Macaca fascicularis: one gene and its partner. The protein of the gene in region 1 purifies or fractionates together with the protein of each later gene. This does not show direct contact. Links are inferred from orthologs where the notes say so. Each region holds a gene or a part of one and is shown on either strand. Other genes may lie near its edges.

Region 1 (7,814 bases):
GACGTAGGTTGAGGGCCATACCTGTAAATATCACACTTCGCTCCAGTCAAACGTCACTTACTGATCTCCCAGTGAACTTGTAAGATGAACATGCTGCAGCTTGCTTCAAAGGGCACTACAACTTCCAAAAAGGGCTTCAAGAAGGCAGTCGCTAAAACTCAAAAGAAGGAGGGTAAAAAGCGCAAGAGATGCTGCAAAGAGAGCTATTTTATTTACATTTACAAGGTGCTGAAGCAGGTCCACCCGGACACTGCAATCTCTTCCAAGGCCATGAGTATGATGAATTATTTTGTTAGTGACATTTTTGAGCGCATTGCAGGTGAGGCTTCCCTCCTGGCGCATTATGACAAGCACTCGACCATCACCTCCAGGGAGATCCAGACGGCCATGCGCTTGCTGCTGCCCGGGGAACTAGCCAAGCATGCTGTGTTGGAGGGCACCAAGGCTGTCACCAAGTACACCAGCTCCAAGTAAAACATAATCCAGCCAGCAGATGAGCTCCACAAACCAAAGGCTCTTTTAAGAGCCAGTGAAAGCTTCTAATAGGGCTATAGAATGTTTATTTTATTATAGGGTATGCGTCATTGCCAGACTGATAAACTTTTTTCCTGGACTAGACATACATGGTTATCTTTAAGTCTAAACTTCGCATTAACTCTTTCTGCAGCAGTTTGGGTGAAAGCTAAAATCTCACAGCTGAAGCAATCCAAGAGGAGCTCCCATAATCCTGGGTTCATGGGGATATTCTTTCTGTGGATAGTGCCATGGGGAAATTTGACTTTTTGTCTACGACTTTTTCTACTACAAACCCTCTACGATGACAAAAAAGGCCCACTTAGGGAAGTCTGGCACTGAGCATTAGGCTGTTTGCTTTTTCTTGACTTTGGCCATAATGTGTGCAAAACATCCTCCAAGTCCGGGTGGACCCGATCAGCACTTTGTAGATGTAAATAGAATAGCTCTCTTTGCAGCATCTCTTGTGCTTTTTACGGTCCTTTTCTTGCACTCTATGAAAAGTGATCAGGCTAACTCCCCTTTATCTGCTGGGATTTGAGGTTTAAAGCCGCAGGTTTCTGCGTCTCTGTGAACTCCAGTAAACTGCTTACTCAATATCACAGTTCTTAATGTTGCTTAGCCACTTAAGAATTCTCTCCACAGGGATTTCCAGATGATTCCAACAGAACTCTTTCCTGGACATCTGTGTTCTCTACATCCATGAGTACCACCCTATTCACATGGTTGTCCAAACCAGAAATGTATTTTTTCTCTAATAGTCTCTGTTCAACTTCTATTCACTTCAATCTCTCAAGATATGGTAATTTTACTTCCTACATATTTCTGTTGTCGATTATTCACCATCTCCACAGCTACCATTTTTGTCTGCATACTCATATCTCTCACCTGAATTACAGTTTCTAATTAATCTCACTGCTCTTAATCTTGCCTCCCTAAAATCCACTCTCTGCCCAACTATTTTCATTTCTTAAATTGACAAATAAAAACCATGCATTTACTGTGTACAACATGATGTTTTGAAATATATATACATTGCGGAATAGCAATCAATCTAATTAACATATGCATTACCCCACATATTTTTTGTTATGGAAACACTTAAATCTACTTTCTTTGCAATTTTCAAGAATAGAACATATTGTTACCAACTATAATCAGCATATTGTACAATAGAGCTCTTCAACTTATTCCTCCTAAGTGAAATTTCATATCCTTTGACCAATATCTTCCCACCACTCCCCAACTGTAGCCACTGGTAACCACCACTCTGCTCTCTACTTCCATGAGTTCAACATTTTTTAAATTCCACTTATGAGATCATACAGCATTTGTCTTTCTGTGCCTGGCTCATTTCACTTAACATCCTCCAGGTTCATCCATGTTGCTGCCCATGACAGGATTCTTTTTCTTTTTTAAGGCCAAATAGTATTCTATTTTGTATATATGCCACATTTTCTTTATCCGTCTGCTGATGGACATTTATGTTCTCTCTACATCTTGTCTATTGAGAATAATTCTGCAATGAACATGGGAGTACAGATATCTCTTTGAGAATCTGATTTTATTTCCTTTCAATATATACCCAGTAGTAGGATTGCTGGATTTATATGGTAGTTCTATTTCTAATTTTTTGAGGAAATTCTATAGTGTTTTCCACAATGTATGCACTAAAATATAATTTTCAATCTTATTTGAAGCACAAATATTACTATATCACACATTTTTTAAATATTTTGAAAACTCAATCTGGCATTGTTTCATTAATAATATTAAACATATTTTATTGCATGTACATAGAAATTTATATTAAGCTGTGTATAGGATCAGCTAGACTAGGAAAGAAACCCATCATACAATAAAAGTTTTGAATTTTGGAGCTTTTTGGGTTACGGATGCTCAACCTGTATTGCAGACATGTAAAACTCAAGAAAATCTACCAGGAAACCAATAGCAAAGTCAGTCAATTCAGTGAGGTACTAGAAGGATATAAAAAATAATAAAAATGCACAGAAAGCAGTGTTACATATATAACAACAAAATGTTAAAGAATAATGAATAGGAAATACCTCATTAACAACAAAAACAAAGTACCCAGAACTATATTTAACTTTTTAAAATGCCAAATATGTATGAAGGTAGATGATCAGTTCACACCCATCCTGTGGTCTTCTGTAGGTGAATGACTCAGGCAGCACCTGAACTAGGCTCAGTTCTAGAAAACGGACCTGAGAGGAATGGGTCCTCTGGGAAGACTCCTTTTGCTCTCAATCCAAGACCCAGTGGAATAGAGTGACTCTTCCTGCCTTTACTTTATCATCTCTGCATGAACACTTGGAACTGTGACCAGTATGATGGCAAAATCACAATGGGGAGAAGGGCAGAGGCAAGACTGCAGGGTAGTGGAGCCAGGGCTGTGATCATCCTATTGGTGGAACTTCTCTGCCTTTAGGTTGTCCTGTTTGGTTGCATTACTTATTATCTCAACCAGTCCAGCTAGCATTTCCTGTTATTTGGAGCCAAAATACATCGATATAAAAGCTACATGAAGTTTAGTCTGAAAAAGAGTTTTTATTTGCTGGTATTCCTACTTATCTATTGCCCAAATAAGCCTAAAAGTCCTTGGATAATCAGGATAGTCTACTGACAGTGGTCACAAAGTTGACAGGTTATTTGGCAGTTATGTGATACCTGCTGTTTTCCAAGGTGTTAGAGAAGCATGAATACCTGACTGGAGATGATCCCATCCCCAGTACAAGGTGAGCATAGATGCTAGATGCCCCTTCCCCCCAATTTGTCACCTCCTTGGAAGATTTCCCAGCTAAAGCACGCAGGGGCTTTGCAGGAACTGCCTTACTGTTCACAAAAGTGTGGGGGCACTTATTTTAACAGGTCTTGTACATCGATATATTCTTTTGTTGTTGTTTCTGAGACGGAGTCTTGCTCTGTCACCCAGGCTGGAGTGCAGTGGGATGATCTCGGCTCACTGCAACCTCTGCCTCCCAGGTTCAAGCGATTCTCCTGCCTCAGCCTCCTGAGTAGCTGCAATTACAGGCGCGTGCCACCACGACCGGCTAATTTTTTGTACTTTTAGTAGAGACGGTTTCACCGTGTTAGCCAGGATGGTCTCGATCTCCTGACCTCATGATCTGCCCTCCTCAGCCTCCCAAAGTGCGTGATTACAGGCGTGAGCCACCGCGCCCGCCCGGTACTAACTTTTTAAAGCAAGCACATATACACATCCAAAATTTCATTAAAAGGTTAAATGAACATGCGTTAAACAGATTGAGAATTCCAGCTAACCAGGTTTCCAAGAAGTAACATTTGATTCGTTTTTAAGGTGGCTGAAATCAGTTTAATGCTTGAGAGCCCTTACAGATGGAGGTCAACAACCAGTTAACACGACAATTAAGGAAACTATTATAAATTTAAGAAAATTACAAGACACTTTAAATCTGTTTCATTCCTGCAAATCAGATTTGGGAGTTCTCCAGAGTTCCCAAAATGATTTCCACACCTTGACTTACCTGTGGCACAAAACGTAACTTCCTCTCAACTACTGCCTTTTTGGGAGGTCTATAAAAATTTGGGATCATAATGCAAGTAACATTGTCTACGTGGCTGCACTTTGTAGTTTCATATACATAATGCTAACCTTAAACATACCAATATCGATCAAGATGTAGCTTTTATACAAACTACCGTTTTTGAGAGTCTCGCTGTCACCAGGCTAGCGTGCAGTGACAACCTCGACTCACTGCAACCTCCGGCTCCTAGGTTTAAGCCATTCTCCTGCCTCCACCTCCCAATAAGCTAGGACTACGGTAAGCGATACCACGCCCACCTGATTTCCGAATTTTTAGCGGAGATGGGAGTTTCAGCTTGTTGGCCAAGATGGTCTCCATCTCCTGAGTGAACCGCCAGCGTCCGCCTTTTAAGTGCTGGGATTACACAGGCGTTAACAACGGTGCCCCGCCAGGCTGGTCTTGTTGGAACTAGTTCGTCTACCTTAAGCCCACAGCTGATTATCTTTGAGTGGCTTTACGAAGACAGCCTTACACAGAAACATACAGTAAGTTCACAGCTCTTTCAGTATGTTTACGTGGCTCTGAAAAGAGCCTTTGGGTTGTAAAGACGTTTACTTGGCCGGCTTACTTGGAGCTGGTGTACTTAGTGACAGCTTTGGTGCCCTCGGACACAGCATGTTTAGCCAGCTCTCCCGGCAGTAGTAACCGCACTGCCGTCTGGATCTCTCTAGAGGAGATGGTGGAGCGTTTGTTGTAGTGAGCCAAGCGTGATGCCTCACTCGCTATACGCTCAAAGATATCAGTGACGAAGGAATTCATGATACTCATGGCTTTGGAAGAGATTCCAGTATCTGGATGGACCTGTTTCAGCACCTTGTAGATGTAAATAGAATAGCTCTCCTTACGGGTTCTCTTGCGTTTTTTGCCTTCCTTCTTCTGCGTCTTAACGACTGCTTTCTTAAAGCCTTTCTTGGAAATCGTAGCACCTTTAGACGATAACTCCGGCATAACTGCCACAGCACTTCTGCAGTGTTAGACAGCTCTTTTAGGTGTTAAACAGCTCTTTTAAGTGTTAACAGCTCTTTTAAGTGTTAAACAGCTCTTCAGTGTTAAACAGCTCTGTAACACCTCAACTCCCACCGTCGCCAAGTAAACGAATATCGCTGCTGGCCGAAAGGTGCGGTATTTATAGGCACGGCCCTCAAATGCCGTGTTGGGCATCCAAAATCTGATTGGACAATGCGAAGTGGCGTGAATGCAAATAAGGTGATTCTAGTCAGACTTTCTGATTGGGTAGAAGGCCATCAGCCAATCAGATAGCAAAAATTCCAACCTCAGTCAGACTATAAATAGGCCCAGTAGCGCCATTAGGAATGATTCTTGTGTTGCTGTAATTCGTCTGTGTAGGAATGTCTGGACGAGGAAAGCAGGGAGGAAAAGCACGCGCCAAGGCTAAGTCTCGCTCCTCTAGAGCAGGCTTGCAGTTTCCTGTAGGTCGAATTCACCGTTTACTCCGTAAGGGAAACTATGCAGAGCGGATAGGGGCAGGCGCACCAGTATATTTGGCGGCGGTGTTAGAATATCTGACAGCAGAAATTCTTGAATTGGCTGGCAATGCGTCTCGTGATAACAAGAAAACTCGTATTATTCCCCGCCACCTGCAGCTAGCCATCCGCAATGACGAGGAACTCAATAAGCTCTTAGGCGGCGTGACCATTGCACAGGGCGGGGTCCTGCCCAACATTCAAGCAGTGCTGCTGCCCAAGAAGACTGAGAGTCACCACCATAAAGCCCAAAGCAAGTAACTTCGGGCTGTCGTTGGTATAGTGACTTTTAAGTGTCAAAACAAAAGGCTCTTTTCAGAGCCACTTACCATCTCAGAAAAGGCTGTGCCTTACAGAACGTTAAGTGCTGTTAAGCAGCCATGTTAGCTGGCACCTGTCAGAAGCAACACCCGTTTAAGAGCATTTCGGGAATGTAAGGGGATTGAATTTTCAAGGACCGTTGCATCAACCATTAATGTCTGAGGTAGTTTTGATTATACGTGTCACTGGGCGAGGTAGCTCACGCTTGTGAGCAGTCAGTACTTGCCCCGAGGTTGAAGCGGGAGGGTCGTTTAAGCCCGGGACTTAACCATTAACATAATTGAGACCCTATCTCACAGAAATTAGCCGGGTTTGGTGGTGCAGGCGTGTAGTCCCAGCTACACGGGAGGCTGCGGTGGGAGGGTTGTTTGAGCCTGAGAGGTGAAAGTTACAGTTAACGAAGATCGTTCCACTGCACTCCAGTCTGCGTGACGTGAGCGAGACTATCTCAAACTATGTATGTCATGTTAAGGGTTACGTATGGAAGTGAAGATTGCATTACAAACAGAAGAGGTATAACCTTAGAGTTCAAATCCAGGCGACATTAGTCTGGCTGGTTGCTTAAAGTACATTTTAGAGAAGAATTTCCTTTCAAATATGGCAGTCTCACGAAATACTCAAATGTGACGTGTAAGTAAAATAAGTTAATCTTAAAATTTGGGTAAGCATATATATATTTGATACCTGTGGCTTCATGCACTTTGTAAAGAATAATAGAATTATTTCTTAAAATGTAAGATATGTTAAAAAAAAGCCTTACACCATATGTGATGGTGAGATACTAGTGTCAGACTCAGGCAGGAATAGGACTAGAAGGCCTAACATAACTTGAAGTTTAGAAATTTCGGAACAGTATATGCTTCAAAAGTTTTGACTACTAAAAAGAGGCAAAATAGTTTGTTGATCTGTGTTTGCTGTTTGTGCTGTAACACCAAGAGAAATTGAAAAGCAAAACCCATTCAGTAACGCTGCCAAATAACTAAAAATTACTGTACGATATTCAACAGCTGCCCTTACCTCAAAAAAAAAAAAAAATCTCATTTGGTTACCAAAAAAAAAAAAACTGCTAAACACTTGATATCTACACATAATAAGGCATATATAGAAGCAGGTAAAGTTCTATAAAATAAAACATGCCAAGTAAGGACAATCAAGTCACAAAAGTCAGTTATCCCTTGAATTAACCTGCATAAATAATAAGTAAGGGATGCAATTAGAGAAGGAAAAAACTGAAGATCTTTGAAAACAGAAATGGCAACTATATGTTGAATAAAACTGGGTAATATTTAGAACATGGCAAATGTGAAACTTCAAATCAGGATATAAGATAAATCTAAACAGATGAATTCCAAGTAATTAATGTAGATATACTTTGTCAAGGAAGTGGCACTTAACTCTCCAGACGTGCCAAAGCAAAGTATGGAAAGGCAGAAGAAGAGGGACTTGACTTTATAGGAGAGAACTTTCATATTCTTTTATTCCAAATGCACTACATAATACTTTTATTTCCATATCTAATGCAATCCTATTAAAATTACATTAAATGTTTAGATAGAATAAAATGTATAAAAAATGGTGAATACATGTTAAAGGAGACATGCCCCTTGATTTTTCAAAACAATTTACTTATAGAAGTTTCTGATTCTTCTCTTTTTTTGGAGCCAGAGTCTTCTCTATCACCCAGGCTGGAGTGCAGTGGCACGATCTCAGCTCATTGCAACCTCCAGCTCCCAGGTTCAAGTGATCTCCTACCTCAGCCTCCTGAGTAGCTGGCATTACAGGCGCCTGCCACCATGCCCAGCTAATTTTTGTATTTTTAGTAGAGCCGGGGTTCTGCCATGTTGGCCAGGCTGGTCTCCAACTCCTGACCTCTGGTGATCCGCCCACCTCAGCCTCCCAAAGTGCTGGG
Region 2 (7,165 bases), on another chromosome or scaffold:
TCGAGACCAGCCTGGCCAACGTGGTGAAACCCCATATCTACCAAAAATACAAAAATTAGCTGGGCGTGGTGGCAGGTGCCTGTAATCCCAGCAACCCAGGAGGCTGAGGGACGAGAATCGCTTGAACCTGAGTCGAAGTTGCAGTGAGCCAAGATCGCACCACTGCACTCCAGCCTGGGCAACAAAGCGAGACTCCAATTCAAAAAAAAAAAAAAATATATATATATATATATACACATCTCAATTATAAGACATAGGTAGATTTAGGAAACGTTAACCTGCCACAAAATCAAGTGCATGTGGTATGAAAATGACAGAACCAGCTCGCAGACCTTGGTTTGTCTGTATCTTTTTTGACGAAACGGTCACAGATAACCTCCTGGGGTATTAGTCAGTAGCCTCCAGTCTGCAGAAGCCCTAACACAAGGCACTCGGATCCTATACCTGACAGGCCACGCGGATGAGGAAGTTCACCACAGTGTCTGTGTGCTGCTTGTCAATGGGCTTGGCGAGGAGAGAGTCCGCTCCAGGTAGTGACTGGCTCCTCCCAAATACCTGGAAAAGGACCTCCTTTCAGGCAGGAAGATAATCGCAACATGAATTTCCAACCCAGGCTTGACTTTTCACCCAGCTAATGGGTATGCGATACCTCCCGGGGACAGAGGCAGATCTGGACGCTCGGGATACCAAAGACAGATGTGGTCTCTGCCCTGGTGAAGTTGACACAGCCAGCAGGAGGGCAGATGGCTAGTCAACAGAGCAGCCATGCAAAATAGTGGCTCATGTGATGGGGAACAAAAGTGCCAAGGCCCAGGATAACATCAAGGGAGGTCTTTAGGTTGAGACAAAGGCGGCCATGAGAAAAAAGAAGAGAGACGGCTCCCAGTGGAGAGAAAAGGCCAGGGTACACATCCTGAGTGAGCACAGGGCCAGAACCAGGGGTGCGTTTAGAGCAGAGGGATAGCCCGCGTGGCCGAGCACCGAGATGGTGCTGGGGGCCAAGAGCCATCGGCAGGGCCTGGTCACCCAGGCCTGGAGTGCCAAGGTCAAGGGGAGGGCTTGAGCAGGGGGAACGGCAACCTGCCTTGTTTCAACTTTTTATTTCCAAAGGATTATAAGATCCACAAGAGATTTTTACAAAAACACTACGGAGGTCTCATGTACCCTTCACCCAGCTTCCCGATTCAAGTTGCGAAAGGAAACTTTTGTAGAAGTCTGACTGCTTTGTGAAAAATCAAGAGGGAGTAAAAGTGGAGGTGGAGAGAGGAACAGGGAAAGAAAGAAGAACAGGGAGGCAGTTGAGCAGCTCCCATCTGTCACCCTGCAAGGGGTGACAGAGGCTGGGACCACGGTGTGGAGGCAGGGATGGGTTATTTGCGGCAGAGTCAGTGAGACTTGCTCCGGACCGGATGTGTGGAGAGAGGCCAATGGACAAAGTGCAGACAGTGCCAGGTTTCTAACAGGAGCCGAGGGCAGATGTGGGTGCCACACAAGATGTGGGATGGTGAGGGTGGGAGAAGAGCTCAGCCTCAGGCCTACGAAGCCGGAAGTGGGGCAGCCAGGCCTGTGTCCACAAGCCAGCAGGTCCATGACACCAGCTGAGGTCAGACTCAGGGCTCCTAGGGCCACCATTCCACAAGGGGCAATACCCAGGACCCTCTTGGTGGCTGCCTCGTGAAACAGAACACATGTCCTTTTCAGAAACTGATCTCAGCACAGGCACATGTTCTTAATCAACTCCTTACTTCAAAGAGTTTCTCTAGATGCCTTTCTGCAAGTAATCAACCATCATCGACAGAACTTTAATGGTATGAACTGAGCGCAGAGGCAAGCATGTCTGGTAACCTGGGAACCCCTGGCATGAGTGACATGTCCTGGAGTTTCAATCTGGTAAGCATAGCTGTTCCCAGCTGCCTCTCCTAAATGCAGCTGGGCACCGAGCTCACATTCTAAATGTAGGGAATAAACGAACCAACTCCCAGCAGACTGCGCAGCACCCATACAGAGGCACACGTGATCTTACTGCACTGATAGCTCCGGTGGCCGTTCTAAAGCGTTTCACTTCCTGGGCAGAATCCACGGACAGGCCTCTCTTAATGGAGGATGAGACAGAATTGACTCCTTCTCCACTGGAATTTGGGTCCATATCTGAATCCGGCTTAAAAACACACAGGCGCTTGGCTTTACTGATTGATTTCTAGGGAGAAGTCGAAGGAAGACGATCGGGGCACCCCCAAGGCTGACACCCCTACCTGCTGGTCCTTGATCCTCTGCAGCTCCCACTTGATGACAACTTCAGACAGGTCCACGGCCAGCCGCCTCTGCTCGATGGTGACACTGGGCGTGAAGCCCAGCCTCTGCATGGCGCTCACCATGTGCTGCACCAAGTGGTGCCGTACCGGGTAGTACACCTGCGGGCGCAGGGCCAGCATCACGCCGGGAACATGGGACCTTGGTCCCAGAGCGCATGCACGTGTGTGCACGTGCACACACACCCCCCCGTGACGTGCCTCTCAGCCCCAACATACACACACAACCCAACCTGATGCTCAAGAATTCGGAATCCTAACCTTACCGAGGAAATTCTCACTGCCTTACGTATGTGTGTTTATCACCCTCCCCCGCCCCAATCACATCTCATTACAATAGTATTCTTCAGTCTTGAAAAATCAAATTCTCTTCAGACAGGAAGCTGAGTCTAATCACATGTATCAAACTTCAGACTTGACAGTGTAAAAGTTTAAGACATACCAAAAAGCAAAGTTCCTCTAAGAGGTGGCTATAAAAGAATTTGCTTTCAACTCAATCCTTTCTCTTCTACCCCAAATCTACAAGAAACATTTACATATAAATAAATCCCACAAAAGGGGTGATTTGGTCATAGAGAAGGAGGTGCCAGCAGCATGAGTAACTTTCCAAGTCAGGTGACGGAAATCTGGAGTCAATGAGGACTATCTCCCACCTTAAGGTGCAAACTCAGCAGCATACAAGGGTTAACTAAGCACAGTATTTATGACAGAAATGTAGCCTTAGATGCAAAGATGCACACACCTGTGACATATTCTCTATATTACAGCAATTTCCATGCTGATAAAGCCATACACACATACACAAACTAATCACATAAACTAATCAATGAACCAGAAGTAACCTTACTAAAAGATGAACCACCTGATTATTGCAGAACAAGACAAGGTGAAGGTTCAGAGCGAATGCCTGAAGATGCATGCCCCGCAGCCCGCTGTCCCTCCTACACACCTTGAAGTGTTGCACTATCAGGTGCAGAATGTGGACCAGCTGCGGGACGGTGTGCCCCTCCTCTACGATGATTTTCCGGGTCCAGTGGGTCAGCATCTGGTGCCCGTCCTCCATCCTGGCCGGCACCGCCGGGGTCAGAATGGCCATCGCCTGTCTGACGATCGCTCGAGCTTCCATTGCATGAGCCTTGAGGAGACTATGAAAAACCTAAAACAGGGAAGAGACACTTATTGAGGATGAGAAGGCAGGCTTTAAAAAACAAGAAGACAAACAATCCCTTGGTATCGAGACATGATACTTTTCCAAAACAATTTTCTAAAAATTTCTTAGGAGTTTCTTATTAGGAAACAACTTAGTTGCTTTCTGTTTCATTAAGACCAGAATACATTTCGTTAATACCAATGAATACATTCATTCTAGTATTTAAAATGCACCTACTATGCGCCTGTGCTGAACTAGGCCAGGGTATGCAGACAGATAAGACCAAGTCCCTGCAGGGATCCCACGTCCCACCTAACCAGCAGCGAGTTAGGGAGGTACACGGCTCATCTCCCTCCGGCTGCGGGATGGGAAATAAAGTAAACAGGGCCAAAAGGAGAGGCGCTGAGAAGCAGCAGCTGTAGTCACTCAAGTTTGAGAGGTGAGGCCCTGATGTGAGGTCATGGGAAAGCAGAGAAGACCAGTCCTGAGGGTGGAGGTGACAGGGTGGGTGTTAGAAGCTGCAGAACCTGCTGGTGCCTGGGCACTGGGGAAGAGCAGAGAAGGTCACAGAGTTCTTGAGTGTTTACCTCTGAGACAACTGGAGGAGGGCAGTGCAGCCCCGAGGCTGGAGTTCTAGCTCAAGGGCTCATGGGAGGGGATGTGAGAGGCCACTGGCTTGATGGGGGTGCAGAGTTCAACAGAGGTTCACAAGAGAAAGATGTCAAGGGAAAGCCATCAAAGATGGTCTCATGGAAGAAAAGAACTATCAGTGATCAAATGCTGCAAGCTCGAGTGGAGTATTACATTTAATTCTCACACAGAGACATTAACCTGCCAAAGGGCACACACCGCGTGAGCGGAAGAAACAACACTCAAACCCGGGGTGCCCGACCTCAGAGTCCAGACCACCGAGGGACTCCAGGAAGAGGTGCTCAACACAAGCTGCACGGCAGCAAGCTCATGAGATACGGATCCAAAGGTACCTATTGTCTCTGGCTAAGAGAAGTGGGCTAGAGCCCCTGAATATTATAACATCTGCCATGGAATGTCAGAGTCAGAAGCTAAAATGCAACGGACAGAGAAGCTTGAGATGGAAAGGGTGGCCTTTCCTTTTAAAAGCAAAGTTGTCGAGGAATGAGAGAGCAGAGCAGGAATGGGGGAGGAAGGGAGAGCGTGGACAGTCACGGGAGGGCTCACAGCGTGGGGTGTTTTCCCCACAAATGGTAAAGCACACATAACACGGAATGTACCATCTTACCTAGTTTTGGGTGCACAGCCCAGTGGCGCTTGGCACCTTCACACTGTGTGCAGCCACGAGCCCCACCATCTCCGGAACGTTTGCATCTTCCTAGGCTGAAACTCTGCACCATTCAATACTCACTCCCCACCCCCTCTCCCCGCCCCCCGCAATCTCCATTCTACTTTGTCTCTCTGAATTCGAGTGCCCTAGGGTCTTCTAAGTGGAATCACAGAGTGTCTATGTTTTCACGGTTTTCATCGGTATTGGGAAAAGACAACAGGAGAGGCTGAGACTGCGCCAGGGAGCCAAGTCACCACGTGGGATTCACGTGGATGTCGGTGGACAGGAGGGGGCTTGCAAAATACCTGCAGGACGATCTTCTTGTGGATGGCGAATTTGGCGATAATGTGCGCCAGGAGCAAGTGTCCGCTGTACTTGCAGGCCGGGTCCACGCAGGCCTTGGAGAGCAGGCAGGGCCAGGCAAAGGTCATGAGGCGGCGCAGCTTGCTGTTGCGGTTCTTGTTGTTGTCGTGGATGTGGTGGGGGGCGTGCTCCACCAGCAGCGTGGCGTACTGCAGCAGGTAGATCCGCAGCGAGTCCAGCATGTCCGCCTGCTTCTCGGGGTCCAGGACCTGTGCAGGGACAGCGGGAAGGACTCATTTCCAGTTGTGAACTGGGTTACTGACTGAGGGTCACACAGCAGGTTTAACCCTTAAAAATACATACATACATACACACACACACACAGTATGTAACGTGAAGTTTTACAATGATATCAATAACATCTTATCCATTTTTCTTCATATATATGTGAAAGGAGAAAAAAACCTCAGGACCCCAGTTGGCTCTGCCCAATGGAAAAAATTAAGCTGAAAGCTGAGTCATGCAAGAAACTGGCTCCTTTTGATGCTAAGCAGAGCTACAGATGAAAGGTTAATGATCTCCACAGGTAACGACCCCGTGTTCACCTTATCTTATATAAAGTGCTGGCTTACTGAGCGTGAGATGAACACAGAACTGACTCTTTCCCCACCTGCTCCCCTTCTTTGGCAATGTGTGGATGACCACACCCGCCCCCTTTCCCCTTCAGCCGACTTTCCCCCTTCAAACACTGAAGCCCTCAAAGCCATTTTTAGAGAAAGGCACAAATGTCTCTCCCGGACACATCCTGAACTTTGGCAAAATAAATTTCTAAACCGACTGAGATCCATCTCAGGTACTTTTTGGTTTACATATGGATTAGAAATCCACCAAATTCATTTCAACATTTAAATAGGGTAGGCTTAAGAGTCAGGATGCAGGGGCTGGAGGAGGGTGAGGTGGGAAAAGAAGACTTCTTTGATTCAAGGTGATTTAGGACTGAGTTTCTTAATTTCCAAATAGTTGAGATTTTTTTTTCCCGGCCAACTTTTGTCTACTCCTTATTTTTCTGCATGATGATCAGAAAATGTGACCTGGAAAAATGTCTACTTTCAAAAAATTGTTGCAGTTTTGAAAGCATCTGACAGATTTTTTAAGTGTTTCACGGACATAAGAAAAAAAATGTACCTTGTGTGAGGAATATTCTACACGTCTCTATTAAATCAAGTATAATGGCAGCATCATTCAGTTCAACTTAGTATCCTAACCACTGTCTATCTACCAGGTCTTAATAATTCTGAAAAATGGACAGACTGAAGTCTTCCATTATAATCATGTTTTTATCAAGGTCCCTTTTAGCCCCAAGGTCCTCTCTTCCCTAGATGTACTGCTTCTTGGCAGGCCCACACCTGCATCTGTAGCCTCCAGCCTGCCAGCTCCTTTTCTCCTCATCCTGACGTTCAAAATCCCTATAGCAGCAGCATCTGACCCAGGAGACACAGCCTGGAGAAGGTAACAAAGGGGAAGGGGTCCCGTCTGGACTCCATCTCCCTACACTTGCCCAGAATAAGGCAAATATCACTACGGAGACCAAGAATAAACGTTTGGGCTCACTCTGATCCTGGGGATCAGATGTCAACACTGCAGGAAGGAGGCCCGTCTGAAAGGACAAAGACTATGTAAGCTCCAGGAATCTGCCAATGGAAACAACAGTCCCCTCTGCCTTGATCCCAGGACAAAATGGCTAAAACCAGCAATCTGTATTTCTGATGAGGAACGCCAACACGCAGCATTCCAACAAACACTCTATGTGAGAATCTCAGGGCAAACACAGCCTCTAACAGTGAAGATCAATACAGTAAGCCTTGGGGAAATAACACAATGCAGGCATTTAATTCCAAAAACCCTCTCTAACACAAACTGTAAAGCGCAGAGATGTTAAAACCGAGCTCAGTTCAGACTGGACTACGGCCACCACAGGGATTCATTCACTGGACAAGGAGGAGTCACAGCAGCTACTGCAGGCAGTCTCATATGCTCACTGGCTGTCAGGAGAGTCTTTTGCAAAACTGAAGATGAAAACAGAACACAGAAACTCTGTTGACC

The links. Proteins that work in one complex are often made in the same cells at the same time.
Region 2: the proteins of H2BC1 (region 1) and TRRAP purify together in Homo sapiens (affinity purification with mass spectrometry; 3 studies listed by BioGRID and IntAct, counting the BioPlex papers as one, with this or other methods). This does not show direct contact. The link is inferred for Macaca fascicularis from reciprocal best matches to the Homo sapiens genes H2BC1 and TRRAP.

The regions. Positions count from the first base shown.
Region 1 is NC_088378.1:147,199,112-147,206,925, forward strand, and holds H2BC1 (histone H2B type 1-A), read right to left. Parts: upstream 5,200-7,814; 5' UTR 5,049-5,199; coding exon 4,665-5,048; 3' UTR 1,879-4,664; downstream 1-1,878. Other genes in the region: histone H2B type 1-A-like, read left to right, coding at 85-474; H2AC1 (histone H2A type 1-A), read left to right, coding at 5,450-5,845. UniProt on the Homo sapiens protein: Variant histone specifically required to direct the transformation of dissociating nucleosomes to protamine in male germ cells.
Region 2 is NC_088377.1:47,526,226-47,533,390, reverse strand, and holds part of TRRAP (transformation/transcription domain-associated protein), read right to left. Parts: intron 5,332-7,165; coding exon 5,065-5,331; intron 3,466-5,064; coding exon 3,259-3,465; intron 2,412-3,258; coding exon 2,253-2,411; intron 2,159-2,252; coding exon 2,024-2,158; intron 556-2,023; coding exon 445-555; intron 1-444. UniProt on the Homo sapiens protein: Adapter protein, which is found in various multiprotein chromatin complexes with histone acetyltransferase activity (HAT), which gives a specific tag for epigenetic transcription activation.